2 linked regions of the Tribolium castaneum genome follow. The protein of the gene in region 2 purifies or fractionates together with the protein of the main gene of each other region. This does not show direct contact. Links are inferred from orthologs where the notes say so. Each region holds a gene or a part of one and is shown on either strand. Other genes may lie near its edges.

Region 1 (15,724 bases), about 340 kb from region 2:
GGCAATGGCACGAGAAGTGCTTCTGCTGTTGCGTATGCAAAGTACCGATCGGTACCCAGAGTTTCATTCCTCGCGAGCAAGAGATCTACTGTGCCAAGTGTTACGAAGAGAAATTCGCCACGCGTTGCATCAAATGCAACAAGGTCATCACCAGCGGCGGCGTGACGTACAAGAACGAGCCCTGGCACAGGGAGTGCTTCACCTGCACCCACTGCTCCAAGAGCCTGGCGGGCGAGCGCTTCACCAGCCGCGACGAGAAGCCCTATTGCGCCGAGTGCTTCGGCGAGCTGTTCGCCAAACGGTGCTTCGCCTGCAATAAGCCCATCACCGGCATCGGGGGCACGAAGTTCATCTCGTTCGAGGACAGGCATTGGCACAACGACTGCTTCTTCTGCGCCTCGTGCCGCACCAGTCTAGTGGGCCGTGGCTTCATCACCGACCAGGAAGACATCATCTGTCCCGAATGCGCCAAGCAAAAGTTGATGTAGATTTTACAGATTTCTGTTTTTTTTTAATCAGTGACCATAGCACCGTGACACGCACACACTACACACACACACATCTTACACCACCGAAAAAAACATAAAAGAAAAATACAAAAAAAAACGAGGATACGCTGTTTTTAGAGTAAATGTATTTATTTTTGGAGGATTTATTTTTGTTTGCCATATTATAACATGACGTCAGAGTTGATTGGGACGTAGGATATTCTAAATTTTGACATTACACCACAGCTTCCTTGATTCGTGCAATGACAGTACGTCGAGGATCAAGGAAGCTGTGCCCTATCCAAACAGTTGCCTTAAAAATTTAGTAGTAGAGACCCATGAATATTAAACATATATATTTGTTATAAATTACGGTTGTTATTGCTTCTTAACTGTTAATGTAAGTGTTTTGACAATTTTTTATTGTATATTATTATTACTATTGTAGATAATGTACACAGCTTCATAGCATTTATGAAATGAGCAACTTTGGTGCTATTTGAGTAGTTAGATTAATTTTTTATTATTATTTTCCTAATTTCTAGTTACTGTTTTTCAGTAAATTCTATCTAAATGCTTCATTAACAGAAATGTTACTATTAATATTGATAAATAAACATACATAATATTCGTTTAGAGTTTAACTTTCAGTTGTAAAATGTACGTATTGGTAAATTTGGATTGTTAAAAATTTGTTATGCTTTTAAATACAAGTACAGGGCTTTGCTTTAGGGATATTGTTATATTTAATTCCACAATAAATATCTGAAAGAAAACAAAGACTCTCATCTTAGTCGTTATTTAGCCAACAGAACAATAGTTTTTCGTTGATTTTCCTTAATTAATAAAAATTATTGAATCAAGGTTTTTTGTTTCATGGTATTTTATTAATGATTGCCACAAAATACTAAATACTTAACTCGTACGAGTTAAATGCGAGCTGTACACACTTTTTTTTTTCTATGATTTGAGCGGTCATAATAAAAATTATAAGTTGCTTTAAAATGTTGGAGTTGATTTTAAACGTCAGACTAGTGTCAAACGCTCAAGGCAATCTATAATAATTGCTGTCATGTCGTTACATTTCTATTGGCCACAAGTTGCCCCGTGTTTGTCATATCATAGGATCTTCTGATTGGTCAAAAACCCGTAACACTGTTATTAAAGTACAGGCCACAAAATTTAGCGAAGCCATTATCTCTTATCTGCATAGTTTTTTTTATTACTTATAATTATATGATAAATTTACAATACAGTAAAACCTCTCAACAACGGACACCGTTGGGAATCTTTAATTGTCCGTTGTGGAGAGGTGTTCGCTAATAAAAGGTGGTCACTTTTAATATAAACAATTATTTTTTTTAAATCAACAAATAGATGAAACTCTGACTCTGACAGACAGTGCTTACAGAAAAGGTTTATTGGATCTGCTAAAATCGCAATCTAACACGCAAACGTGTTTTTTAGAATGTATTCATTCTTTAATTTTTTTAATCATGTTTATATAAGTAGAAATCTTTTTTAATTAAAATTAAATAAGGAAATAAACAGTTTTTTTGTTTATTTTTTAATTGTTTGGTTGTTTACAAGACATAATTTTAGCTATTTTTTGAACAACTTCAAATGTCTCAGACAATGAGTGCTAAGGCAAGTTCTGCCATTATTTATTATTATACTATTATTTTCATCTTTTCGTCACTTATTCATAAATAAATCTGGATTTTTTATATATAATTTCTCATCTATTTCTACATGGTTTATAAAACAAATTTTGTTTTTTTGAGCTACTCTTTCGTCTGTTCGTTGTAACAGGTAAATTTATATATGTGGTAATTGGAGATTTTTTGTCGGCGTCAGCTATACAGTGGGTCTGTTGTAACTTTTGTTATGTTCCTACAAAAATGTTTGTTGTAAACAGGTGTCCGCTAGACGGAAGTGTCCATTAAGGGAGGTTTTACTGTACAACTTTTGTTTATAAAAAAAACAACAAAATTTATATGTATTTTTATTTTATTTATTTATTTTACACGAAAAACTACAATTCGTCCGTTTGACCAAATAGTGTAAATATAATAAATAAAAAAATAAAATAAATGCAACAGGCGGCTACAAGGCAGGCGCCAGGCGCTTTACTTGTTATAATTAAATGTAATTAATGATGTACTAATTAGTTTTTTCGTAAGGTACATAGTTTAAGCACAAATCGCTTGGTTCCATACTTTTGGCCAACGCTGTATGCAGAATAGGTACATGTCTGAACCCATGCAGATGAGGGTTATGGGGGTAGAAAAACTAAGACATTAGGTTACATATTTGTTGTTTTAGATTTTTTTGCTGTTGTTTTGTAATTGTTGGACGCTGATTTGGAAACTGCCAACAGATTTTTTTTATCAGCTCTAGTTTTTGAGATAAGAGAACTTAATGTTAGTTTTTTTAATTAAACGGACACCACTTTTAATTATTTCTCTTTGCTTAGATTTTTTTGCTGTTGGTTGCTGTTTTTGAAACAGCCACCAGAATTTTTCTATCAGATCTAGTCTTTTGAGATATAGGTAGGTAACTAATATTAGAATTTATTTGAAAAATGCACCTATTTTTTGGTTTACTTCTTTGTGCCCTGATTTTTTGCTGTTGTTAACTGTTGGACTGATTTTAAAATTACCGACAGATTTTTCCTACCAGCTCAAGTTTTTGTGATTGATTATATTAGAACTTTCCGCATTTTTCATAAGCTCTATTACTGCTCTAAAATGAAAACTTCTAAATTTGGATATCAGATTTGAAACCTACATTTCAAAAAAGATTGCTTAATTGCTGCGTATATTTGGTTGCCTGTACTAGAAAGATGGTCGATTAATGGGTTCAGTATCGCACGATTACAAAATTGTAACATAACATGACAGGCAATTCATATGTATAGTTAATAACGGTCAATAGGAAAATTATCCACCTGCTATTTAAGCCTACAAATCATCTAATTTGGACACTGACAGGGTAGGCAACACATTATATACATATATCAATTGTTTAAATTTATAAAATGGCTATTTTAATTCGCACTTTTGGCGAGTTTTTATGATTTTTGGTACATTTTAAAATAAACGTTTGCTTGTATTTAAGGAAGTTTTTTTGAATCTGCTTAAGTTTGGTATTTGAAAATCCCGCTGTTGGTGTGGCACTATGCAACCGGCCGGTTTCCTTCATTTTACAAAGTTGGCACAGAATCGGTGATAGGTGGAAAAGCAACCAACTTTCATCGCGCTGATTAGCGAATTACTTTAAGAAAATGTCTTCAAATTCGATAGAAAGCGAGGTAAGGCCCTGCTAATCCAACTATAAAAACTTTGGGTCATGTTTCAATCGGTAATTGTTGATATTTTCCAAGATTTGTCACAGCCCCGGCAATTCTGCCATATTGCATTCACATGACCATCCCTTGTAATTTTTTGTGTTGCTTCGCCACAGAACGAAAAAAACGACCTAAAGACTGAGAACGACATAGACATCGCGCAGGATTTTTCCATCAAACACCCGCTCCAAAACTGCTGGACACTTTGGTACTACGAGAATGACAGGAGCCAGACGTGGGAGAAGAACCAGAAGGAAATCGCCTCGTTTCAGACCGTTGAGGACTTCTGGAGGTAGTTATTGTGTTCAGGACACGGTGATGAGTGCTACTTGTGGCAAATTTCAGTTTATACAATCACATTAAGCCCGCAAGTGAGCTGAGACAAGGGAACGACTATTCCCTGTTCAAGAGGGGCATCAGGCCCATGTGGGAGGATGAAGCGAACAAACGCGGGGGGCGTTGGCTTATTAACTTAGACAAGAAACAGAGGACCAACGAGCTTGACCGGTACTGGCTTGATATTGTAAGTTCTTGCATAACGTCCGATTAAATTTCACACTTGACCTCCTTCAGATCTTGTGTCTAATTGGGGAAGCGTTCGAGCATTCGGATGAAATCTGCGGGGCGGTAGTCAATATTCGAGGAAAGGGTGATAAGATCGGTAGGTGACTAATCTAGGTTGGCGATATTGGGTAGTAATTGTTGCCAACTTAACAAGTCATGGGTCACTTCGATTTGTTGATTTCAGGGGTCTGGACTTCCGACGCCACAAAAAGCGCGGCTGTCATCGAAATCGGCAAAAAACTGAAGGAGCGGCTGCATATACCGCCAAGGACGGTTTTAGGATACCAAATCCACAAAGACACTCAGGACAAGTCTGGTTCCGTTACCAAGAATTCATACACCGTTTAATTAGAGTAACCGTTGAAATGTTTTCGTTTTGAGAATGTTCGTATTGGTATTGATTTCCCATGGTTTATTTGAATATATTTATTTCATTTTCTACTTTATTAATCTCGTTTTGTATGCCAGGATATTGTTGCGTTTGTATATAATTAAAGACGAGACACTTGTTTGAACTTTATATTTTTATAAAAATAACAACAGCTCGTTAACAATTATAAATTATGGAAAATCGAATATATCCTGCACTTTCAATCTGAGGTCCTTCCGCCTTGCGTCCGTTAAAGCTTCCAATAATTTACTACGCCACCTATATCTATCACAGTTTTGTTCGTGAAAAGCCAAAATCTTGTAGGCCCTAGCTGATGTGCTCCTCACAGTGTTTAAGTCGTCTATGTCGCCCTCAGGGATGCCCAAAGCCCGAGCAAAGTCGGTCCATTTTTGGCCGATTCCCTCGGCTATGCATTTGTACACCCTATCCTTGGTACTTTTTGGTATTCTAACAAAACCTAAATTCACATTTTTGCATTATAATTACAGTAAAGTGAGGCGACTACCTGAGTATTCCTCTGGACTATGACTATTACAAGCGTTGCAATTAACGTGATTGTCTTCAATTTGAACATTTCTGAGACTGTGTAACACTTCCGGTTGTTTAAACTCACTAGCTATGTCACTCAAAGCCTGGGTGTTACTAGAGTTGAGATAATTTCGTTTTTCCAAAACTTTAATTAGCTCTGACAGCGACCTTATGTTCTCCAACCTTCTGTTAGAGTTGATCACAGTTTGGTACCTCTCCTTCAGGATTTTCAATTGTTCACTTGGACAACGTATACTTGCAATTTCATTGCACAGCATTTTATAATTGGAGTTCGTTGACATTATTTTAGAGCTCAAATCAACCGAGAGACAAGCAATTACATGAATCAGTCTTTAAAACATCACACACTCCTATTTTTAGGTCGATTTTGGCATATTTTTAACCTCAATCTGTCAGTGTCATTTCTAAACGTCACATTACCAATGTCGGTGAAGATAGCACCAAAAATGATGCAGGTACTATGAACATTACAGTCGACCAGACAATTGCTGCGCCCACCATACTCATTTTCTAAAGCCAAGTTCACACCAGAAAAATTATCAAAATAATCGTAAATCATTCGTCAACAAGCTGTTACGCTGACTTGCTTATCACATTTGTAAAACATCTCCTGACCATTCTAATGTGTTTCTATTACAAATTAAAACTTAATTGCATTTAATTTCTGCATTTATTCTCATATTCAAGCAATACACTCTCTTTATATCTTCCAATTTTCTTTATTTTTGCAGGAGATTAAGCCCTCCAATAGGGCCTTCGACCGTAAAACAATCATGTTCTGACAAACACCCCTTGGGACCTTAACGATTTTTTTTTAATTTTTATAAAATTTCTGGATTTTGTAAACTCGTATTTAAGGATTGCTCTAATTAGTCAAATTAATAACTAATTTGTCCAGCAAGAACCACGTGGAGGTTTAGAGCATTCTTGCCAGGAAAAAAGGATATAAGGATGAGGTAAACGATGATTTTTAGAAAATAAAGGGAATAAAGGAGTTAGTGGTTTGTGTAATGAAAAAAAAATACAACACAAAAATATAGTACACCTACCTTCGGATTGCTTCTGCGTTGGCTACTGTTTGTAGCAAAACATTAATAAGAAATTAAAACCACCATTAAAAAAATCTTTATTTGCATTAAAGTTACAACAAGCAACTGTTATCAATATTACACAAAGTAAAGAATACACAATACGTTATAATATATGGTACACAAATTATTAAATTCAATACCTCACAAGATAAACACAAAAAAATGCACCTACCTTCATTTCGCTTCTGCGTTGGCTACTGTTTGTAGCAAAGTTACAACAAGCTACTTTTATCAATATTAAACAAAATAATAAATACACAGTACGTTTCAATATATAATGGCACTCAAATTATTAATTTCAACACCGCATTTAGAGCCGGTGTATACAACATTGTAATTGTAATTAAATTTTAAGGAATTATTGGTTTCTGAAATAAAAAGACAACAACACAAAAATAAAATGGACGTACCTTCATATCGCTTCCACGTTGGCTACCGTTTGTAGCATTAAAAAAATAATAATAATAAAAATGAAACCAAAAAAAAAAAAGTTTATTTGCATTAAATTTTGAGCAAGCCACTTTCATTCATTGAAATTAAAGACAAAATTAATACGTGGCAATAAATTGTTTGAGTGTTTGATTTATTTATAGTTACTGTATTTAGAATGAGTCACTCAAACAATGACTTTTCAACACCGTATTTAGAGCCGGTGTACACAACATTGTAATTGCAATTAAATTTTAAGGAATTATTGGTTGGTGAAATAAAAAGACAACAACACAAAAATAAAATGGACGTACCTTCATATCCCTTCCACATTGGCTACCGTTTGTAGCATTAAAAAAAATTAAAAACAACACCAATGAAAAAATCTTTATTTGCATGAAAATTACAACAAGCGACATAATTTTACGGTTGTAAAAAACAATCAACAATGTTATATTTAAGGATTGCTCTAATTGGTCAAATTAGTCAATAACTAATTAAAAATTAAAAATTAGTCAATAACTAATTTGTCCAGCAAGAACCACGTGGAGGTTTAGAGCATTCTTGCCAGGAAAAAAGGATATAAGGATGAGGTAAACAATGATTATTTGAAAATGAAGGAAATAAAGGAATTATTGGTTTGTGAAATGAAAAAATAGTACACAAAAATCAAACCTTTTTCACTTTGCGTTAAATAAATGCTCTTAGCTTTTGTACTGCATCTGCTACCATTTGTAGCAAACCTAAAAAATAAATTAAAAACACAACCAACAAAAAAATTAATTTGTAGGAAAGTTACAACAAGCGTCTTTAATAAATATTATACAGAATAAAGGATACACAATACGGTATAATATATGGCACACAAGCTATTAAATTCAACACATCACAAGATAAAACGCAAAAAAATGCACCTACCTTCATATGGCTTCTGCGTTGGCTACTGTTTGTAGCAAGACATTTAAAAAATTAAAACAACACCAATAAAAATCTTTATTTGCATGAAAGTTACAACAAGCAATGATTGTCAATATTAAACAAAATAAAAAATACACAATACTTTTCAATATGTGGCAATTCAAATTCAAATCAAATTCAATACCTCAGTAAATAAATGCACCTACCTTCATATCGCTTCCACGTTGGCTACTGTTTGTAGCATTAAAAATAATAATAATAAAAATGAAGCCAAAAATAAATGTCTATTTGCATTAAATTTTGAACAAGCCACTTTCATTCATTGAAATTAAAGATAAAATTATTACGTGGCAATAAATTATTTGAGTGTTTTATTTTATTTATAGTTACTGAATTTAAAATGTGTCACTCAAACTATCACTTTTCAACATCGCATTTAAAGATTTTAATTGCAATTAAGTTTTATGAAATTGTTGGTTTGTGAAATAAATAAATACGACACAGCAATAAAATACACCTACCTTCATATCGCTTCCACGTTGGCTACCGTTTGTAGCATTAAAAATAATAATAATAAAAATGAAGCCAAAAATAAATGTTTATTTGCATTAAATTTTGAGCAAGCCACTTTCATTCATTGAAATTAAAGACAAAATTATTACGTGGCAATAAATTATTTGAGTGTTTTATTTTATTTATAGTTACTGAATTTAAAATGTGTCACTCAAACTATCACTTTTCAACACCGCATTTAAAGATTTTAATTGCAATTAAGTTTTATGAAATTATTGGTTTGTGAAATAAATAAATACGACACAGCAATAAAATACACCTACCTTCATATCGCTTCCACGTTGGCTACCGTTTGTAGCATTAAAAAAAATTAAAAACAACACCAATGAAAAAATCTTTATTTGCATGAAAATTACAACAAGCGACATAATTTTACGGCTGTAAAAAACAATCAACAATGTTATATTTAAGGATTGCTCTAATTGGTCAAATTAGTCAATAACTAATTAAAAATTAAAAATTAGTCAATAACAAATTTCTCCAGCAAGAACCACGTGGAGGTTTAGAGCATTCTTGCCAGGAAAAAAGGATATAAGGATGAGGTAAACAATGATTATTTGAAAATGAAGGAAATAAAGGAATTATTGGTTTGTGAAATGAAAAAATAGTACACAAAAATCAAACCTTTTTCACTTTGCGTTAAATAAATGCTCTTACCTTTTGTACTGCATCTGCTACCATTTGTAGCACACCTAAAAAATAAATTAAAAACACAACCAACAAAAAAATTAATTTGTAGGAAAGTTACAACAAGCGTCTTTAATAAATATTATACAGAATAAAGGATACACAATACGGTATAATATATGGCACACAAGCTATTATATTCAACACATCACAAGATAAAACGCAAAAAAATGCACCTACCTTCATATGGCTTCTGCGTTGGCTACTGTTTGTAGCAAGACATTTAAAAAATTAAAACAACACCAATAAAAATCTTTATTTGCATGAAAGTTACAACAAGCAATGATTGTCAATATTAAACAAAATAAAAAATACACAATACTTTTCAATATGTGGCAATTCAAATTCAAATCAAATTCAATACCTCAGTAAATAAATGCACCTACCTTCATATCGCTTCCACGTTGGCTACTGTTTGTAGCATTAAAAATAATAATAATAAAAATGAAGCCAAAAATAAATGTTTATTTGCATTAAATTTTGAGCAAGCCACTTTCATTCATTGAAATTAAAGATAAAATTATTACGTGGCAATAAATTATTTGAGTGTTTTATTTTATTTATAGTTACTGAATTTAAAATGTGTCACTCAAACTATCACTTTTCAACACCGCATTTAAAGATTTTAATTGCAATTAAGTTTTATAAAATTATTGGTTTGTGAAATAAATAAATACGACACAGCAATAAAATACACCTACCTTCATATCGCTTCCACGTTGGCTACCGTTTGTAGCATTAAAAATAATAATAATAAAAATGAAGCCAAAAATAAATGTCTATTTGCATTAAATTTTGAGCAAGCCACTTTCATTGATTGAAATTAATGATAAAATTATTACGTGGCAATAAATTATTTGAGTGTTTTATTTTATTTATAGTTACTGAATTTAAAATGTGTCACTCAAACTATCACTTTTCAACATCGCATTTAAAGATTTTAATTGCAATTAAGTTTTATAAAATTATTGGTTTGTGAAATAAATAAATACGACACAGCAATAAAATACACCTACCTTCATATCGCTTCCACGTTGGCTACCGTTTGTAGCATTAAAAATAATAATAATAAAAATGAAGCCAAAAATAAATGTCTATTTGCATTAAATTTTGAGCAAGCCACTTTCATTGATTGAAATTAATGATAAAATTATTACGTGGCAATAAATTATTTGAGTGTTTTATTTTATTTATAGTTACTGAATTTAAAATGTGTCACTCAAACTATCACTTTTCAACATCGCATTTAAAGATTTTAATTGCAATTAAGTTTTATAAAATTATTGGTTTGTGAAATAAATAAATACGACACAGCAATAAAATACACCTACCTTCATATCGCATCCACGTTGGCTACCGTTTGTAGCATTAAAAATAATAATAATAAAAATGAAGCCAAAAATAAATGTCTATTTGCATTAAATTTTGAGCAAGCCACTTTCATTGATTGAAATTAAAGATAAAATTATTACGTGGCAATAAATTATTTGAGTGTTTTATTTTATTTATAGTTACTGAATTTAAAATGTGTCACTCAAACTATCACTTTTCAACATCGCATTTAAAGATTTTAATTGCAATTAAGTTTTATAAAATTATTGGTTTGTGAAATAAATAAATACGACACAGCAATAAAATACACCTACCTTCATATCGCTTCCACGTTGGCTACCGTTTGTAGCATTAAAAATAATAATAATAAAAATGAAGCCAAAAATAAATGTCTATTTGCATTAAATTTTGAGCAAGCCACTTTCATTGATTGAAATTAAAGATAAAATTATTACGTGGCAATAAATTATTTGAGTGTTTTATTTTATTTATAGTTACTGAATTTAAAATGTGTCACTCAAACTATCACTTTTCAACATCGCATTTAAAGATTTTAATTGCAATTAAGTTTTATAAAATTATTGGTTTGTGAAATAAATAAATACGACACAGCAATAAAATACACCTACCTTCATATCGCATCCACGTTGGCTACCGTTTGTAGCATTAAAAATAATAATAATAAAAATGAAGCCAAAAATGAATGTTTATTTGCATTAAATTTTGAGCAAGCCACTTTCATTCATTGAAATTAAAGATAAAATTATTACGTGGCAATAAATTATTTGAGTGTTTTATTTTATTTATAGTTACTGAATTTAAAATGTGTCACTCAAACTATCACTTTTCAACATCGCATTTAAAGATTTTAATTGCAATTAAGTTTTATAAAATTATTGGTTTGTGAAATAAATAAATACGACACAGCAATAAAATACACCTACCTTCATATCGCTTCCACGTTGGCTACCGTTTGTAGCATTAAAAATAATAATAATAAAAATGAAGCCAAAAATAAATGTCTATTTGCATTAAATTTTGAGCAAGCCACTTTCATTGATTGAAATTAAAGATAAAATTATTACGTGGCAATAAATTATTTGAGTGTTTTATTTTATTTATAGTTACTGAATTTAAAATGTGTCACTCAAACTATCACTTTTCAACATCGCATTTAAAGATTTTAATTGCAATTAAGTTTTATAAAATTATTGGTTTGTGAAATAAATAAATACGACACAGCAATAAAATACACCTACCTTCATATCGCTTCCACGTTGGCTACCGTTTGTAGCATTAAAAATAATAATAATAAAAATGAAGCCAAAAATAAATGTTTATTTGCATTAAATTTTGAGCAAGCCACTTTCATTCATTGAAATTCAAGGCAAAATTATTACGTGGCAATAAATTATTTGAGTGTTTTATTTTATTTATAGTTACTGAATTTAAAATGTGTCACTCAAACTATCACTTTTCAACATCGCATTTAAAGATTTTAATTGCAATTAAGTTTTATAAAATTATTGGTTTGTGAAATAAATAAATACGACACAGCAATAAAATACACCTACCTTCATATCGCATCCACGTTGGCTACCGTTTGTAGCATTAAAAATAATAATAATAAAAATGAAGCCAAAAATGAATGTTTATTTGCATTAAATTTTGAACAAGCCACTTTCATTCATTGAAATTCAAGGCAAAATTATTACGTGGCAATAAATTATTTGAGTGTTTTATTTTATTTATAGTTACTGAATTTAAAATGTGTCACTCAAACTATCACTTTTCAACATCGCATTTAAAGATTTTAATTGCAATTAAGTTTTATAAAATTATTGGTTTGTGAAATAAATAAATACGACACAGCAATAAAATACACCTACCTTCATATCGCTTCCACGTTGGCTACCGTTTGTAGCATTAAAAATAATAATAATAAAAATGAAGCCAAAAATGAATGTTTATTTGCATTAAATTTTGAACAAGCCACTTTCATTCATTGAAATTCAAGGCAAAATTATTACGTGGCAATAAATTATTTGAGTGTTTTATTTTATTTATAGTTACTGAATTTAAAATGTGTCACTCAAACTATCACTTTTCAACATCGCATTTAAAGATTTTAATTGCAATTAAGTTTTATAAAATTATTGGTTTGTGAAATAAATAAATACGACACAGCAATAAAATACACCTACCTTCATATCGCTTCCACGTTGGCTACCGTTTGTAGCATTAAAAAAAATAAAAATGAAACCAAAAATAAATGTTTATTTGCATTAAATTTTGAGCAAGCTACTTTCATTGATTGAAATTAAAGACAAAATTATTACGTGGCAATAAATTATTTGAGTGTTTTATTTTATTTATAGTTACTGAATTTAAAATGTGTCACTCAAACTATCACATTTCAACATCGCATTTAAAGATTTTAATTGCAATTAAGTTTTATGAAATTATTGGTTTGTGAAATAAATAAATACGACACAGCAATAAAATACACCTACCTTCATATCGCTTCCACGTTGGCTACCGTTTGTAGCATTAAAAATAATAATAATAAAAATGAAGCCAAAAATAAATGTTTATTTGCATTAAATTTTGAGCAAGCCACTTTCATTCATTGAAATTAAAGATAAAATTATTACGTGGCAATAAATTATTTGAGTGTTTTATTTTATTTATAGTTACTGAATTTAAAATGTGTCACTCAAACTATCACTTTTCAACATCGCATTTAAAGATTTTAATTGCAATTAAGTTTTATGAAATTATTGGTTTGTGAAATAAATAAATACGACACAGCAATAAAATACACCTACCTCCATATCGCTTCCACGTTGGCTACCGTTTGTAGCATTAAAAAAAATAAAAATGAAACCAAAAATAAATGTTTATTTGCATTAAATTTTGAGCAAGCTACTTTCATTGATTGAAATTAAAGACAAAATTATTACGTGGCAATAAATTATTTGAGTGTTTTATTTTATTTATAGTTACTGAATTTAAAATGTGTCACTCAAACTATCACTTTTCAACATCGCATTTAAAGATTTTAATTGCAATTAAGTTTTATAAAATTATTGGTTTGTGAAATAAATAAATACGACACAGCAATAAAATACACCTACCTCCATATCGCTTCCACGTTGGCTACCGTTTGTAGCATTAAAAAAAATAAAAATGAAACCAAAAATAAATGTTTATTTGCATTAAATTTTGAGCAAGCTACTTTCATTGATTGAAATTAAAGACAAAATTATTACGTGGCAATAAATTATTTGAGTGTTTTATTTTATTTATAGTTACTGAATTTAAAATGTGTCACTCAAACTATCACATTTCAACATCGCATTTAAAGATTTTAATTGCAATTAAGTTTTATGAAATTATTGGTTTGTGAAATAAATAAATACGACACAGCAATAAAATACACCTACCTTCATATCGCTTCCACGTTGGCTACCGTTTGTAGCATTAAAAATAATAATAATAAAAATGAAGCCAAAAATGAATGTTTATTTGCATTAAATTTTGAACAAGCCACTTTCATTCATTGAAATTCAAGGCAAAATTATTACGTGGCAATAAATTATTTGAGTGTTTTATTTTATTTATAGTTACTGAATTTAAAATGTGTCACTCAAACTATCACTTTTCAACATCGCATTTAAAGATTTTAATTGCAATTAAGTTTTATAAAATTATTGGTTTGTGAAATAAATAAATACGACACAGCAATAAAATACACCTACCTTCATATCGCTTCCACGTTGGCTACCGTTTGTAGCATTAAAAATAATAATAATAAAAATGAAGCCAAAAATAAATGTCTATTTGCATTAAATTTTGAGCAAGCCACTTTCATTGATTGAAATTAAAGATAAAATTATTACGTGGCAATAAATTATTTGAGTGTTTTATTTTATTTATAGTTACTGAATTTAAAATGTGTCACTCAAACTATCACTTTTCAACATCGCATTTAAAGATTTTAATTGCAATTAAGTTTTATAAAATTATTGGTTTGTGAAATAAATAAATACGACACAGCAATAAAATACACCTACCTTCATATCGCTTCCACGTTGGCTACCGTTTGTAGCATTAAAAATAATAATAATAAAAATGAAGCCAAAAATGAATGTTTATTTGCATTAAATTTTGAACAAGCCACTTTCATTCATTGAAATTCAAGGCAAAATTATTACGTGGCAATAAATTATTTGAGTGTTTTATTTTATTTATAGTTACTGAATTTAAAATGTGTCACTCAAACTATCACTTTTCAACATCGCATTTAAAGATTTTAATTGCAATTAAGTTTTATAAAATTATTGGTTTGTGAAATAAATAAATACGACACAGCAATAAAATACACCTACCTCCATATCGCTTCCACGTTGGCTACCGTTTGTAGCATTAAAAAAAATAAAAATGAAACCAAAAATAAATGTTTATTTGCATTAAATTTTGAGCAAGCTACTTTCATTGATTGAAATTAAAGACAAAATTATTACGTGGCAATAAATTATTTGAGTGTTTTATTTTATTTATAGTTACTGAATTTAAAATGTGTCACTCAAACTATCACATTTCAACATCGCATTTAAAGATTTTAATTGCAATTAAGTTTTATGAAATTATTGGTTTGTGAAATAAATAAATACGACACAGCAATAAAATACACCTACCTTCATATCGCTTCCACGTTGGCTACCGTTTGTAGCATTAAAAATAATAATAATAAAAATGAAGCCAAAAATAAATGTTTATTTGCATTAAATTTTGAGCAAGCCACTTTCATTCATTGAAATTAAAGATAAAATTATTACGTGGCAATAAATTATTTGAGTGTTTTATTTTATTTATAGTTACTGAATTTAAAATGTGTCACTCAAACTATCACTTTTCAACATCGCATTTAAAGATTTTAATTGCAATTAAGTTTTATAAAATTATTGGTTTGTGAAATAAATAAATACGACACAGCAATAAAATACACCTACCTTCATATCGCATCCACGTTGGCTACCGTTTGTAGCATTAAAAATAATAATAATAAAAATGAAGCCAAAAATGAATGTTTATTTGCATTAAATTTTGAGCAAGCCACTTTCATTCATTGAAATTAAAGATAAAATTATTACGTGGCAATAAATTATTTGAGTGTTTTATTTTATTTATAGTTACTGAATTTAAAATGTGTCACTCAAACTATCACTTTTCAACATCGCATTTAAAGATTTTAATTGCAATTAAGTTTTATAAAATTATTGGTTTGTGAAATAAATAAATACGACACAGCAATAAAATACACCTACCTTCATATCGCATCCACGTTGGC
Region 2 (17,269 bases):
ACAAACAAATGCATGTCCGTTATTTTCGGTGTTCTCACTGTGTAACTGATGCTTTTCGTGTGTTGTTTTGTTTCAATCAAAGTTTTGTTGGTAATAGTGCCGCATAAGCAATAACTGATGTGATACTATTTTTAATCAAGGTTTTTAGGTATTACGGTCCTGTGCGCGTGTTGACACAACCAATTCGAGCCGTTCGGCCAATTCATTTCTCACGTACCATAATACGTAAACATCTTGGTCGACCATTGTGTTAACAATTTATGTATATATTAATATTATTTCTCCTGACTGTTTTACTGTAGTTACCAGTCTTATTCTCTGTACTGAGGTATCTATTATTGTATTATGCGTAATGAGTTGTTAGTCCCAAAATATACTGATATTACTTCACCACTGTTTTTATTCAACCAGTCCCAATCAAAATTCCTCTCTAAATATTTTTATTTTCGTGTGAGGTAACTTACATTTTATTAAAATTATTACAAGGCGAAAGCACAGCTGAGCCCTGATTTTTTTAAATTTTGTCCAATGGCTGAATGACCCTTATTTCGGTTATTAAAGACAACTCATACAGAGTGTTCCATGATGTTCTACATAATCTTAAGAAGCTTTCGCCGGTAAAATTCAATCAACATTGCATATTCCAAAGCGAACTAGATTATATTTTTTTTTAAATTAGCTAGTCTTCAGTTTGTTAAAAACTCCTTAAAACAATTATTTTTAATTCACTAATTTTTTTGTATAATCTGATTCTTACATACAGGGTTATTTACATAAAAAAGCTTGATGACTTGTCTAAGTAAAAATGCAACCTAGCATAGCATGTCCAGATTTTATATTATAATTAAATCATAAATTCAGGTATACAGAGTGTTCAAAAATTAGCGCACCAATTACAATTATGAATTATAATTTTTGTATTTACTAAAAAATAGCTATCAAAAAAATTATCAAAATAATTTATAAATAATAAAAAATATTTATAAATTAAAACACGGGGTGTTATTATTGCGTATGAAACCGTTTTAAAAGAATTTAATTTTTTTAATGACCAAATTCTATTGCGATTAGGATTGTTAAATAACGTTGCCATATATCATTTATTTTTATTTAAAGTTCCTTATTCACCAATATATTTAAGACAGATTTTTTTACTATTTTTACCTTTATATAAAAACATTCCTCCACCATACCACATTGAGTTGGTGCGCTAATTTTTGAGCATTCTGTATTTAATTAATTACACAGACTTAATTATAATATCACACCAGAAATTCAATTTGCTATACAGATTACATTTTTTGCTTGGTTTTAGTTCGGATTCTTAAGTGAATAACCCTGTATAATAATTTTGTTTTAGAAATCTCTGGAAAATCAATCTGGCATTTCAGAATTTTTTTTTTTTGAATTGACCACTGTTCCCAAAGCTTTCATAAATTTTACAACCCTAATCTGCAAGCAGAAATATTCTCCTGAGATAGAAAAAAAATTCTTCGATTTTAGTGCATTTTTTAAACAAAAACTTTCTTTCTTTCTGTTTCTTTAACCAAAATCGCAGCGTTCTGAAAAATATGAAACGGAACACAAATTCTAAACAAAAAAAATCATCCCAAACAATGTTGTTTGTATTTAATTGTCAGTAGGCCTTGACAATATTAAAAAAAAGCAAGTAGTACGTCGTACTGCTTTCCAATACCAGGGAAAGCAAAATTTATTTTTTTTTCTATAGCAGGTGTTAAACTACAATGTGTTCAAAAATGGTTGTTCATCAAGCCGACTTGATGTCGGCAAAGTTGTTTCAAGTGTATAGGGTTTGTCTTGATTTGTGTTTTACATTTCCGTGATTTTTGTTGTTTTTTGTTCATTTGTTTTTAGCATTTTTGCATTATTTTGACGTATCTGTCACTTTCACTTTCATAGGTGACTTGATGAACAATCATTTCTGAACAGTGTGTATTTCTTTTTTTATCAACTCTTTTGAGTAAATAAAACAGCACTTTAACCGCAAGGGTAGATAAAATGTTTTAATTAAAATAAATATATTTTATTCAATTAAAATTACCAATTTCCAACATATTAATATGAGGGATTAACAGATTAACAATAACTTTTTTCTTAAACTTCGTTAGTATTATACACGACGTTAAAGATTGTTTATCTGCTCGTCAAATAAGTCCATTCCTAAGTTCCGTCATTCTTGAACATAAATTCTTTTCACTCGTAGATAAACAATTTCTTTATCGTCTTGTTTAATAAATATTTTCTCATGCCTGTGACGGAAATTTTAGTCGTTTCTCAGTTTATTAAGAAGCCGCACCAAATTTTTGACGACAAAAAATCGAGTTAGTTTGTAATCTCATTTTGTCTATTAGTTAGTTAGGCTTTGATTCTAAAATAAAGTTGTTACCTACTTATTTTTTTAATGCATTTTACGTCGAATCATTTAAATTGGTCGGTTTATGGAAGCCTTATTAATAACCATTAATTTAATTTATTCAATCAGCATTAATTGAAAAATCACGTGACTGAATCGAACCAACCAGATCTCACATTCACGACTAATGACAAATTAACTTTTAACTACACATTGAATTTTAAGTTTTTCAAGTTGCATAAAGATAGTAGTAAATTTTGATTGTGAGATTGGTACAAGAAGTAATTATTTATTTCAAAAAAAAAAAAAAATAAGGAAAAAATACATCTTAATGTGTTCAAAGTTCAAACCCATTTTACACCCATTTTTTCGAACGATGATGGTTTATTAGAAGTAATTATTTCTCAACTAACTTTTATTTTTTAATAACTTGGCGAAAATAAACATGACTTCGTAATATTACATGAACCATCTGCTTGTATTTACCTTTTGTGCTAAAAACAATATCAAAAACCTCTTACGGCCGCCACTGTAAACACAAAGAACAAAAAATAGTATTTTAATTAATAAATCACTCCATGGCGTAAATCCTGGTCCAGTCCTTGGCCCTGATGATGGCTTCACTGGTCCTTGTTTTCCAAGTGTAAGCCACATCGTTGGCCAAAGGGTCGTCTGGATTCGGACTACTCAGCAAGGCTTGAATCGAGAGCAAAACGGTGCGAATTTGCAAAGCCGGCGACCACTGCTCTTTCAAAATATCCAGACAAATCCTCCCCAATTTGTCAATATTCGGATGATAGATTTTGGTCAAGAAGCGCACGTTTGGAGGCGTTAGGGGGTAGTTTTCGGGGAGGAACAGCTCGAGTCGGAAGAGACCGCCTTCGTAGGGGGATCCCTGAGGACCGGCCATCACGATGTGGAAGTAACGGCAGTTTTCATCGTCCGGGATAGCACTAATGCCAGGAGGCGGGTCTTTGGAGAGGTTCTTCGTTTCAACGAGGATGCGGCGAGTTGTGCCGTTTGCCATGATCTGGAATTTGGGTTAGGGGGTTTGGAGGCTTGGGGGAACTCAATGGAGGGGAATTACTGGAGTTTAGGGGGTGCTAGGCATTGTGACAGGTGACAGGTGTCAAATTCTCTTCGAAGGATTGATTTTTGGCTTCTTTATTAAGCTGGTGTTTTTGTAATGAACAATGAACAATAATAATAATGATTACGCAAAAAACGCGTTATCTAATGCTCTCCTGATTCTATAAGGAATATTAGTTATTCATTTCTCTTGGAACCGCAGTTATGTTTTAACATTTTAACCATTATTTCCCATTTCATTTCATAGTAGAATTTTGCAACAGAGCGCATTTGAAATAAAGCTCAAATATCAGAAAAGAGTTCTGTGTTGGCGATAAATTTTGAGCCAAGAAAACCCACCAGAAACTCTCAATTCGCGCTTGATATCGTCCCAAAAATGCAAATTAATGCGTTGTTGCAAAATTCTACTATAAACTGAAATGGGATACCATTTTTTATTTGTAATTTATTTTAATTTCGAATTTAATTTAATTCAATCACCAAATTTGCTGCTCTCTTTACCACCTTCTAATTCTAAAACTTATTACTGATTCAATACATCTTTTGAGAACTTTTTAAAGTCACCAACACAAAGTTATACACTAAAATTATTTCAACTATACAACAGTTTCATTTCCTTTGCGTCCACTCAAATGTTCGTTTTCCAATTCTGCATCGAATGATGAAAAATAAATAGTGGTTTCCATTTAAGATTGAAAAACTTATTGGAAGTAAATTATGAACACTCTGTAGCAATTCAGATCAATCAAACTTAATTAGTAAGTCTCTTGGACCTTGTTCAACACGCACTTTGTAATAATTTCATTCAAAAAGCTCGGTTTCCTTTATTATTATTATTGTTATATTATTATTATTATTATTATTATTATTATTATTATTATTATTATTATTATTATTATTATTATTGTTATTATTGTTATTATATTATTATTATTATTGTTATTATATTATTATTATTATTATTATTATTATTATTATTATTATTATTTCCTAATTTTTTAAATTAAAGATGTAAAACCATTTTTTTTGCAGCGATATGAAAAAACTTTAGGGACAGGTAAGAAACTAAAGGGGTATCTTAATGATCGCAAAAAGTAATAGCATGCCGTTAAAAAAAGTATCCATGAAATAAACCCACACAATAAAGGCGCACAAGAAGAAAGTCTACAGAAAAAGCCCACACAGAAAAAAACTCACACCGAAAAATATTCATACGGAAAAAAACACATAGAAAAAAACATACAAACACAAAAGCCCACCCAGAATGAAAAAAGACCATTCAGAAAAAAAACTCACATGAATAAAAGCCCCACTGTCCAAAAAGCTCACGGAAAAATTAATTCACTGGAAAAAAAGCACTTTCTGCAGTCGTCGATACATTTATAAAAATTATAATTATTCGGATAACAATAAAAATATTTTAGAATCATTTTTTGTTACAATTCTATTAAAGAAAAGAGTAAATTAGTATAATGAAAAGGGATACTGTGCAATTTTTTAGACAAAGACATCTTATTTTTATTTGTTGTGATTTTTTTCTTTTAGTTATAAATTTAAAATTTTGGAAAAATTATCACGGCTTTTCAACGTCTAGCTTGACCTAAACTGAGTGATCTGTCCGCATCTATCATTCTTTTCGCATTAATTTGTTGAATTGTTAAAGTGATGTAGGGGAGAGTAGAGTAAAATGATCCCAAAAATCAAGAAAACTAGTAGTAGTAAGGTAACATTATTTTCTGGCCAAAAAGTAGTATACGTAGTAAGAAAAGAAAAATCTGGTCAAATAAAATAGAACTGCACAATCTGATACACTTTAATGTGTATCTTAGTTGTTTTATTAATACAGCTAGCATAATCTAATGCAATTTTCAATTAGGTGTAACTGTTTTTTCAACTACATAGAATTCTCTTAAAAGATAAATAGCACAAAACAATTTTTAGTGCAAAATTTTAAAATTTTGCGCCAATTATTGTTTGCACGATGAGTCAATTATAATTTCTCAATTCTCAGCGTGAATTATGCAGAACTTATCACAACATCTTTCTGACCCTGAAGCCACCAACTACGACCTTCAGAACTCTATTTACATTCCCATCATCGATAAAGACTACCAGTTTTCAAGCTACTGTTAAAATGTTAAAAACAACTGTGATTTCTTTACTTTTGATTGGTGTAACACGAGCTGAAACCATTTCTTTCAAAAATGTAACACTGGAATGGAAAACAAGCACAGATCGTAACACCACAACCATTCCATCATCAGCCAACCTTCGAGACAACATCCCAAAGCTTCAGACCGAGATTTCGGTGGTTTTGAGTGGTTTAGTGCCTGTTTTATACCCAAAATCAGTGAGTGGTGTACCAACTTTAAAATCACTAACAGTATCAAACGTCGGCTTGAGAGAAATAAAACCAGGAGCGATTGAAAATTTACCACTTCTGGCCCATTTGATTTTAAATCGCAATGAGCTCAAAGTTATTGAACGAGGAACTTTCACAAACTTAAACCTGACAAGTGTGAATTTAGGTGACAATGAAATTTCCAAACTCGAACTTGGGGCTTTCAAAAACCTCAAAATTCACCATCTCACACTCAGTAACAACAAAATTTCTGAGATTCGAAACGGGACTTTTGAAAACGTCTCACTCCAAAGCTTGAATTTGTACGGAAATGGGCTCCGAAAAATCGACGGACCAATCACAAACTTAACAAATCTGGTCCTGAGCAACAACAATTTGACCGAAATCGATTTGCATTTCCCTGATTTAAAATATCTCGACTTGAGTTTCAATTCCATTCAAGTTCTAAAGCCCGGAGACTTGAAAAATCTTCCCGCACTGGACACGTTGGACCTCACCGCTAATACCCTTCACCACGTCCCTGAAGGTGTCTTCAGTCAGTCGAAACTGGTAACTTTGAAACTAAATTACAACCAAATCGCGAAAATCGAACCCAAGTCATTCGACGACATGTCTCAGCTCAGTGTTTTGCACATCGACCACAACAACTTAACCCAATGGGATGACAAATGGTTGAGTAATTCCCCCAAGTTGGCCTACATTTTCGCCGGTTTTAACCGAATTGGAGCTTTGCCGGGCCAAGCCTTCCGGAATTATCCCCAAATGTACAGCATTGATTTGCAAGGAAATTTGATTAAAGAAGTTTCACGGGAAAGTTTCGCGGGGTTGGAGAAAGTGGTGAATTTTAGTTTGAGGGATAATTTGATTGTGGATTTGGACCCAGAATGGCTGGCTAATGCGACGGTGGGAAGTGTGGATTTGAGTGGAAATAAGCTGGGGTGTGTGGAGGGAAATTTAGAGGAGGCTTTCAGAAGGGTGGACTTTGTGCATCTGGAGGGGAATCCCTGGCGGGAGGATTGTGTGGAAAAGATTAAAACATTTCTTTCCCAGTGGCCAAAAATAAAACGCATTGTTAGTTCTGTGTCACAACAACCAATTTGATCTAATATTGATTAAAAACTTTGTTTGTAGTTTTATTGTTGTCCCAGAGCGAAATTATTAAATTTACCGCCTGTTTGAATGGCGTTCTACACGATTGCGTCCTATGTTTAGTAGGATATTTTCTGTTTTGATTAAGAATTTAATTAAAGTATTAACGTAAAAAATTAAATTTTGTTGTTCCAAATCAATTCGCAGCCAATTTATCGATATCGCAGTCATCTTTTTATTGATTTACTGTTTGGCTCATGTCCTTTGATTAAAACCTAGGGATTTTTCGCATGGATGCCATCACGGGGAAGTCCCTTGTTGAGTTACGTGTTTTAATCAGTTTATCGAATTAATTGTTATTTAAAACCAACGACAATGGGTGGATTGTTTTCAAGCCAAGGAAATGATTATTCCGACGATTCGTGTTCCGAAGAGGAAAGCAACGAGGTGTCGTGCAAAAATCAACCTACCTTTGGTAAATTTGTTTATCAACTTTTGATCTCAAGTGTCATTTTTTGCAACATAACCCCACTTTTTGTTACGTATTTAATTCCAGTAATTTAGTATTAATTTGAGCGATGTTTTAGATGAGGACAATTGTTTGGACTCCACTGACACCATAGACGCCAGTTTATCGCAACCAGCGATGCCAATAACGCTAAATGTGGACCAAGTTATGTCCATTGAAAACGACTTGGATGACTACGAGAAGGTAGTTATTTCTGGGAGCTATCCTTTAATAAAGAATGGTTACAGGTGGCCCTTGTGTTTTTGATTTACGAAGACCCCAAATCTGCGTTTGTTCAACTAACGAAATTGCTCCAAGGGTCCCATGACAAACTCTTGTATAATTGGGCAATTCATGAGAACTTAGCCGGTCGGAAGTGGCAAGAAAAGCTGGTTGAGGCACTTTGCATCATCCAGAATTACCAAATCATATCAAGTTTGGGCTTCAAACGGGAGGATTTAACCGCTCGGTTTTTACCGCACCACATTTTCACGTACGCCTATGTGAACAAAGTCAGAAAGGCCCTCTATTTCGTCTGCGAGGCGTTGCAGCAGAAGGACGTTGAGAATTTGCTCAACTTGGCGTGTAAGGACTTCAGGGAGAAGGGGCTGGATTTTAAGTGCATTAATGCGCAATTTTTGGAGTTGTATTTGCTGCATTGGGAGACTGTGGGGTACGTAAAACTGGACGATTTGAGTAATTTGTGTAGAGTTCTCAAGCAAATTGACCAGTTGGATATTTGTGATAAACTGAGAGAAATTGTGCCAATTGTGCACAAATCTGCTGAGAGTAGAAGTGTAGATAAAAGAGTAGATTCTAGTGAGAGTGAAAAAAGACAGTCAGTGAGTGTGTTTGAGGGAATTTTAGATCCAAAGTCCAGTTTGCTTAGTCTGGCCTCGCTGGAGACGTCGCATATCAGTGCAGACAATGCAGCTTTTGTCAGCGATGAAAATAAATATTTTATTGATCCAGAAAGACCTGGCATTTGTTTGATCATCAATCAAGAGAATTTCTACAGAGAAGTGGACAGAAAATATCGAGTAAGTTGGGGGAGAGGTGTTTTGTACCATGCTCTCAAAATTTCTGATCAAAAATTGACAAAAGAAAAAAATATGTAAGGTTCTAAGGAGTAACTGTTGATTTGTCATTGTTTTTTATAGTTAAAAGACCTTTAATTAAGCTCTGTTTTCTGCAAAAATTACGAAAATCCTTGTAGGGATTGTCACTTGCATTTGTCTTGCCAAGGTATTTTGAGAAAACAAAAAAAAATTATTAATGCGTTAAGCAGTGATTGTAAGTTCATCATTTTTTTACAACCAAAGGGTGTTTTAAGAAAATATGCTTGGAAAAAATACTGTTTGCTTGTGAAAACTTAAGAAGAGTAGGTAATAAAAAAAATTACAATTGTATGTTCTTTCTAAATCCAATCTTAATTATTATCTCTCAGACTAGTTGATATCTCGTATTAAATATTTGTAACCAAGCATTAACGAGGTAAAAACTAAAAATAATTTTAGAGTTTTTATAAAAAATAAACGTTTAAATGAAAAAATGAAATGAAACTGTATGCTGTTTTCTAAATAAAATAATAAATGGGCGGTCTATTTCCAACAGGTAACATCTCTAGCTTTACTTAACTTTTCAGGAAACGAGTGAAACGTTTCCTGAAAATAAAATAAAATAATAAAAGTAAGGATAAGAATTTAAGTATAAGGTTTTCATAATTTTGATTAGCATAAGTTAATGCAAAAGAAATGCATATTTCTGTATTAATAAAGACAAGGACAAGCTTACAAAATTAAGCGAATGCTTCTGCTAATTGTTTGACTTATCAAATTATAGACAACTGGAGGCAAAAATAAAAGCTGCAGCCATATACAGAGCTTAATATGTATTTTTTATACAATTTGCAATAATTTAATAACTTATTTTTTAAAGTAAACAAGTGTAAAGTAAACAAAATCATAATATAATAGTCCTCAAAAGTACTCACATTCACATTATTTTCAATTATTATTTTTTGCAGGCTAAGAACTTTTAAATTCATAAATATAAAAGATTTTTTGTTTCATCTGTTTTTGAAGTAAAGGCGTTAATAGATGAAGATCTAACATGTCGCGGTGGAAATTTTTTAAGAGTATTCCATATTGAGGGAAACTCTTCTTGTATTCTTCTGCTGAATTAGCTCCATTCTATTCCATTAGGAATTTTTGTTAATGTAGGATTAGGTATTCCCCTATAAAAGTTTCATAGCTTTATTTTTTTATTGCCAGTTACATTTTTATCTGTTTTTTTTTTATATATAGCAGTATGTATGTTTATCAATTATTTTGTAATAATTTTACTATAACTAAAAATTCGGATTCTTTTTTCTCACGCAAAGATTCATGATAAGATGAGAAATCCCGAGGCATTCTACAATGGTATAATTAATAATTATTCTAACTGTAGAGTATTTTATTTTGCATCTTTTACGTGTCTTCCTTCTCTTATGAAATCCTTAAACCAGAAATTAAATTCAATTTACTTGAAGGAAGTGATACTTCAAGTTTTTTAAGTGACACACAAGAGACAAACAATTCCTTAGAATCATAAGCAAATGCTTTAAGTAAAAGCATTTTATTAATACCACCCATTAATCCAGTCTTTCCGAGTCATTTATTTGATCAGAAATTTAGTAGAAAGCACTTCGTAATGTTTCTTCATTACTAGCACTTGCTTCCACGCCGGGACAACAAATTAGAACTTAGGATTGGTACACAATACGACCGAGACAAGCTTGAAGCCACTTTCCGACAATTTGGTTTCAAAACTATTGTAGAAAATAATCTCACTCATTTGGAAATGCTACGAAAAATAGAAGAAGTAGTGCAAAGCGTTAACGATGAGTCGAGCCTTTTCATTTCTATAATGTCTCATGGTGATGTAGGTTGGTTGATTTATTTTCCTTGTGATGCAGTTATTTATCTTTTATCTCTATTAGGTGTCGTTTACGGCGTTAATAGTTGCCAAGTCGACGTCAAAGCAATTAAACGTGTGATGTGTACCAAAAATCGCCCACATTTATCGGGGAAACCCAAAGTTTTAATCCTCCAGTCTTGTCAAGGCACCAGATGTCAAAAAAGTACGATTGGTTGATTCTTGTAACTTTATAAAAATTTATTTTTATTGTATTAGTTCAGTCAGATGACGATGACATTGAAACAGACGGTCCTTCGTCACCTGTCCAAGAATCAGTCCCGCCAATAGCAGATTTGTTCACTTTCTGGGCCACAGTTCCAGGCTATGGTGCAATAAGGAACAAAAAAACAGGATCCTGGTTTATTCAGTCCTTGTGCGGAAAAATGAAAGAATTGGGGCATAAGTACCATTTCGATGATATCTGCACCAGTGTTATAGGGGACGTAAGTAGGAAAAAATGGTGCCAAGAGAAGGACGAAGTGGCAATGGTGCCAGAAAAGGAGTCCACATTCAGGAAACTGTTTTATCTGCCACCCGTTAGAGTGTAAGTTTTTAAAAAATTATTAAGCAATATGATTTTTAAATTAAGTTGGTGACACTGAAAAACTGAAAAATGTTGCTAACTTAATTTCAATTATATTTAATTTTTTTAATGAAAACTCAAATAATTTTTGTTCAAAAAATAAACCAAAAAATTCGAAAACAGTCTTTTATTAACTCATAAAAACAGTGCATTTAATACTGACTAATTGCGACCTAATCAAGTCTAACTGTCTGCTTTTCGGTAATCTCTCTTTGAGCTCAGCCAACTCGCTAATCCAATAGCGATGTATATCACACTAATAGCGATATGGAAAATCCCATATACGAAATACTGATTTCGGGGGCCTAGGGCAAAGCCCACCCCTTTAGTGACCACAACCATCGTCAAAATCGACTGAAACGCCAACGCAACAAACGTATTAATTCCAAAAACCAGCCCATAACTGTCCTCCTTAATGCATTTGGCGATTTCAGCGCTGGCTATCGTAATCATAAAGTGGTAAAGCCCCCCAAAGGCTATATAACAGATATAACTCAAAATAACGTATTTAGTTCGCGACGTATAAAGCAGAATGAATCCGCTCATCAGCGAGCACAGCGTCAGAGCCAACTCGCCCTTCATTTTCCAATCCACCCTCAGAACGCCGGCCAGCAGCGCCCCCATGAACCCCAGTACGGTCAGGACCGACTCAACAGCCCCGTTGTAAATGGGGATAGTCGGGTCGTCCTGAATCGTGTTCCACAGCACTTGCATGTAGCACTGGACTTGGATGAAGCCGCACGTGGAGAGGGCCCACCAGAAGGACCATTTCAGGACGTAGCGGTTGGAGAAGGACTCCACCAGGTGCGTTTTCATCAGAGTGAAAGCGTTGAGGAATTTTCGCGAGTAGCGCTCGTCGATTTCCCGGTGGAAGTAGATGGTTTTTCGGACGGAAGGCAGGAAGAGGCTCCAGAGGGTGGCCGCCAGCATGGACGAGAAGGTGATGTAGTTCAAGTCGCGATAGGTCGCGCTGTCGAGCGAGATGAGCAATTGGGCCACGATGCCGGAGATGGCGCGGCCAGCGAGGATGGCAGCCCTGGTGTGCGAAGTCACCTGCTGGTAAAACTCTTTGGGGACTTTGGCGTAGATGTAGGTGTAGTAGGCCACCTCCGTGGCCATGAACGTGCCATAGAAGACCTGTTAGTTGTGCAATAGTTACATCACAAGTTGCAAAAGGGAAAATTTCCACTCAAATACGCAATTATAATATTCCATTGTGAACACAAATTAGCCCAATTAAAATATATTCACTTAACACAGATTAGAGACCTGCTCACTGCTATAGAATTTATAATTGGAGTAGGCAGATTTTTATGATCGTTAAACTATAGCGCAAACTGAGGGAAAAATGTATTCCGATTGAATCTAAACATTACTATTTGACTCTTCAGCTTGATCAGTTACTATAATCGGCGTTTTCATTCAAGTTAAAAAACTAATAAAGCCGACCCTAATTATAAATTCAAATAATCACATGGTGATTAAAGTAGCAGCTACTTTATTTGTTCCCTTGAATCAAAATTTTCTGAGATAAACGTGATTTTTCTAATTACCGTTTTCTAATTACCTTATTTCTACCAATTCCCGAAAAGTGGTTAAAAAATAAAATAAACTGTTTTTTGTAAAGACTCGAAATAGAAAAATAGTGTTAAATAAATACTGCTGTGAAGGAAAAATTTAGTTTTAATACAGGGTATTTCAATTTTTAGTGCCAGTCAAAAAATAAATACTTCTAGTTGCCCAGAATAAAAAAATTATATCGGCAACAATAGAGTTTCTAATACGCTTCAGTTTGATGCGTATAAGCGTAAAATGCAAAAAACTATTTTAATTTTTTTTTGTTTCCAAATTATTGAAATCGTTTTCTCATAATAAAACTCTTTTTTTGTGAGAATTCCGAAATTGATATAATAAAAAACTTAAGGCGATTTGCGCAAATGAAATTTTAATGTGGTTAAGATTTTAATTCCTGACTCCAAAAAATTTAAGCACACTGTTGGCATTTTTTTTTAGTTTTGAAACATACATTACTAAAGAACAACTCGTCAGACTACATACCACACAAGTTTTATTGTAAATAACTATTTTTAGCCGCTTTTCGCGAACTGACAAACATTATTTTGACCTAATTAATACTAATAAATTGTAAATACTTTACAGTAATTTATAAAAAAACAACTTTATCTTACAAAACTTTGATTTAGAGAACAAATCGGTTAGCTGTTGGATTTAAAACGCCAAAGAAATGACGAATATTAGGACTAAATTGCTAAATTCTAATTAATCTCAAGCGATTTAAATTATAAAGAAGCTATTTTTTCGTGAAATTAATTAATTCTTTAATTATTTACCATATTTGGACCTCGAAATATTTGCAAAAAAATTAAGCTCCAAACCTAGAGAAGACGGACGCCACTGCCCATGATTTTTTTTACATTAACTGTAACTTTGTTTTCTTTCACCAAAAACTTATTTGAACTATTAACTTCATTTCGTCTCGACTGTCTCTTAAAATAAAAAACTTTCTCCTATCTTGAAAAGCTCGCTACATAAAAAAATATGCTACAAGAAAATTTTTAATTTTTTAGTTTCTTTTGTATACTACGTTAAAATGTATATTTACTGGAGAATCTTTTGCACAAACAAAGTTGCTAGCTTTATGCAGAAGGAAGAGATGTAAACAAAAAATTTGTCCAATTTTAGTTTTTTCTAAATTTTTTGCTTTACGTTTAATTAGGTATCCTAAACTCTGTTAATTTGAATAATTGCAAAAAAGTCAAGAGAACATTTTTATGTAAAATTTTATTCTTTACAATTTTTATTCAAAACTTTTTTCTTGTTCTAACCAATTTTGAATATGTACTAATTTAAAAAAACACTATTTTCGAAAAATTGTTTACTTCACAATAATAACTTATATCAAAAATGTAAGCTTATGCTCAACATTTTGATTTAAAGGGTTATTTATTTCACTGGACTAAATTACACGAACTGAGATTATGTAATTGCCACGATTGTTTTTCACAATAATAAAAGTATTTTCGCCACAATAGTTGATTTTTCTCTTGGTTTTGGGGCCGAGCGGCCCCTCTGCTTAGCCCTAGCCCCAATTAGCACGACTGTGTGGCTTTTTTAAGGATTTGCGAATTGAGGTTATGTAATTCTTGGGTCCATTTTTGCCAATAAAAAGTATAATAGCGCTAGTTATCGCAATTATGGATTATTTTTGGATAGAGCAGCCCCTCGGCGCCTGAAATGAAATATATGATGCAACTGAGCTACATTTGAGGTTATGTCTCTTATCAGTGGCGCCTAATTTGAATTTTTTTGCTACCAGCTAAATCGAGAGCTAAAAATTTCATGCTTGATCGGTCTTACTTCAAGGACTTGTAGTTCGAAGAGGCTCTTGGTCCACAGTAGCATGCTCCATACCACCACCCCCGAGAGTCCCAACAGGACAATCAAAGGTTTGTACCTGCACAGGTCGGTAATGAGGAAGGCCACAATCGATTGGGCCAAGTAACTGTATGTTCCCACTGGATAGACTTGTTCGGTGACTTCCTCCTTGCTGACATTCCTCCAAGGCCCCACCAAGAACTCGTAAACGAAGGGTTCGGACGGTCTGATCTCCTTCAGAAAGCCAAAAATCGACAAAAGGAGCGAAATTTTGAACCAATCGTTCATCGCGGCGATTTCGATTTAAATTAAGTACCAATAGCCACAGTCGGAGACACAGCAAAGTAACATGACCTCTGTTTTTCGGACGTTTTATTACATCACACCATCAGTCAGCGATTTCGCCTATTCAGGGGTTAACAAGCTTCAAGTTACACGCATTATTTAAAGCAATTTGTGCAATATTACTGAATCGAAGGTTATTTAACATTGTGAGTGGGGACCTCGGCGCGTGTTTACCCGAGCTTATCGTATGTTTTTGGCGAATTACGCATCCTTAAACCGTATCGCTAAAACAAACCCAATAAAATCATGTTTATTGAACAAATTTTCCCAAAAGTTGTAAACCGATTTGAAAAGCCCGCGCCGGATGCGATTGGCTACAGCTGTTCCAAGGTTACGTCTTCAACTTTCTAGCGACCGAGCGCCATCTGGCCCAGCTTTTCCGAACCAATTTTCAAGTGTTGTCTTTGGGGCCGTATTTTTCAAAATTGGTTAAGTTTGCGTGTGTGGGGCTCCCCGAACTTGGGGTTTGTTGAATGGGGCGCCTTTTTGGCGGGCTCTTAATTGACGAAGAGGGCGGGAAAGTGTGCCAGAGAAGTTAACGAGTTCAGTGGTAATCCGGCCATGTTTATTGCAGACAGAAACTGGAAAGTAGGCTTCGCGTTTGTGTATTGTTTTGAGTGAAAATTTTCAATTTTTCCGACTTGATGTGGTTTATGTGACTATTTTGAGGAGCATGGAGTCAACAGATAGAGGTATGTTATTCATTTTTGCCCAGATTTAGACACACTGTGAGGGATTCCAGACACAAAGGGCAATGGCAAAGTCAGGGTCGAACTATTTGGTTCACTGACCGCATTTACAACACGACCCCAAATTTACACACAAACCGAAAAAAAAACACAAAACAAGCCAAAACACACGCCAAATTCACCGAAACGACTCGAAAAACCCCCGAAATTTTAATTTCTTGATCCAAAAAAATGTTTCCATTACTCCACCAAAAGTCCCATAGAACATAAACCGGGTCCTAAGAACAATTTTCCCAAATTTCACTTTTGTATTAAAAAAAAACAAGAATCTAAATATTGTAGATTTCTTTCCGAGCAACAAGTGCCAGAAGATCCGGACAGGTGTCGCAACCAGTCAAGATAATTAATTCCCGCTGGCTCGAATTCCCACCCGTTCAAATAATTTTCCTGACCTGACCTGATTGCTGTATCGAGCTGACAGCCTTGACCTAAAATCGGAGCTGCGAAGGTCACCCTACCCTTTAATAAATTTTGATTTATCGAAATGAGATTCAAACTTTTTACAATTCAGATGTGATCGAGCAAAAAACGGAGATAAGTGCGATAAATTCGTTAAAAGATGATTGCGCAAAATATATTACAAACAAATGAATAGGCATGAAGATTGTCTATTGTTTCGTTTGTTGGTGGTTTTTCGTTCATGTTTTATAAATTTTATTTTCGATGTCGTCCTTGGGATTTGACAAGGTGATGGTAAATATAAATCTGGAAATGTTTCTGCTTCATTTGACTTGCCGAAACGTTTAATTAATTACAGTACGACATTCCAATTAAATATTTTTGGAGAGTAATTTCTCGTTTCTACGTTTCGGAGTGATGCTTTTAGCGTCACAATTAGTTAATTAAAGGTAAATTAAGTAATAACTGTCCAATAAACTCTTGCTTCTTTGAGTCGATAACATCAAAAAACACAATGTTGTAAAAGATTGTACATCATTGACCTTACCCGAGTGTTTTTTGCTTGGCATTGGGTTTAATTGACAATTTAATAATGGAAATGATTATTTAAGACTGATAAATGTGTTACTATAGTTGAGCTAATTTCGGATGAATAAACTTATCGTGATTGTTATCAATTTTTTATTCAATTTTCGTAATGTTACGAAATTTATTGAATGATCGTTTTTATGCTAGAATTTTATCTTGTGAGTTTAAATAGTCTTGTTTTATTACATGAAAGAGTCAATTTGAAGGGAGAAACAGAATGTTTAAACAGAGGTGACCTATTTCCGTGATCACGAACATCGAAGGACGGACAGTTTATCAAAAAGTTTATCTGTGTTACAAAAAAACTCGACACGATTTATTATTTTTTAAATTAATTGTTGAAAATAAGTGCAGTTGTAAATTTTACGACCAGCGATTTTAAACTGACAAGAGGCAGTTTCTTTAACTTTGAATTTTATTGTACAACTTTATATTCAAATGGTGATGCTAACTTTACTGCCATAAAACTTTTATCGAGTCTTTAGAGTGTGTGTGACATTTTTTGCTATAGTATTTTGGAATGTGTTGCGATTTTCTTTATACAAAAGAAGAAATCTTCTCAAAAACAGGGTTTCTGTGATTAATTCTTTATCGAATTGATAATTTTGCCATCATTTTAATAAAAATTATAAATTTTTGGGAGAAAGGAAGAGAAAAATACCAATTTTTTGGACTTCGTTCAGCCAGAAATCAGAAACGTAATTGTTTCGCCAAATGTAACCAAAAATACGCCGAAAATGGTGTTACTTTTTTATGTGAGATTTTATTGAAATGGAAAAAAGTTTTTGCGACCGTTTTAGCACGTTACCAGAAATGCGATTAGATT

What was found.
Region 1: the proteins of Dredd (region 2) and uncharacterized protein LOC103312947 purify together in Drosophila melanogaster (affinity purification with western blotting; 5 studies listed by BioGRID, with this or other methods). This does not show direct contact. The link is inferred for Tribolium castaneum from reciprocal best matches to the Drosophila melanogaster genes Dredd and Fadd.

The regions. Positions count from the first base shown.
Region 1 is NC_087398.1:10,608,591-10,624,314, forward strand, and holds uncharacterized protein LOC103312947, read right to left. Parts: upstream 5,786-15,724; 5' UTR 5,623-5,785; coding exon 5,298-5,622; intron 5,250-5,297; coding exon 4,963-5,249; 3' UTR 4,907-4,962; downstream 1-4,906. Other genes in the region: Lmpt (prickle planar cell polarity protein 3-B), read left to right, coding at 1-488; eukaryotic translation initiation factor 4E-1A, read left to right, coding at 3,775-3,801, 3,954-4,129, 4,183-4,360, 4,411-4,498, 4,586-4,749.
Region 2 is NC_087398.1:10,950,619-10,967,887, reverse strand, and holds Dredd (caspase-8), read left to right. Parts: upstream 1-7,177; 5' UTR 7,178-7,289; coding exon 7,290-7,389; intron 7,390-7,398; exon of another isoform or gene 7,399-7,451; intron 7,452-7,501; coding exon 7,502-7,626; intron 7,627-7,670; coding exon 7,671-8,462; intron 8,463-10,134; coding exon 10,135-10,351; intron 10,352-10,405; coding exon 10,406-10,546; intron 10,547-10,599; coding exon 10,600-10,927; intron 10,928-11,566; coding exon 11,567-11,633; 3' UTR 11,634-12,227; downstream 12,228-17,269. Other genes in the region: ubiquitin-conjugating enzyme E2 N, read right to left, coding at 2,946-3,401; leucine-rich repeat-containing protein 15, read left to right, coding at 5,598-6,926; thiamine transporter 1, read right to left, coding at 14,187-14,216, 14,345-14,650. UniProt on the Drosophila melanogaster protein: Effector of the programmed cell death (PCD) activators rpr, grim and hid. May play an apoptotic role in the germline as well as soma. Fadd interacts with Dredd to promote cleavage of Dredd and is necessary and sufficient for enhancing Dredd-induced apoptosis.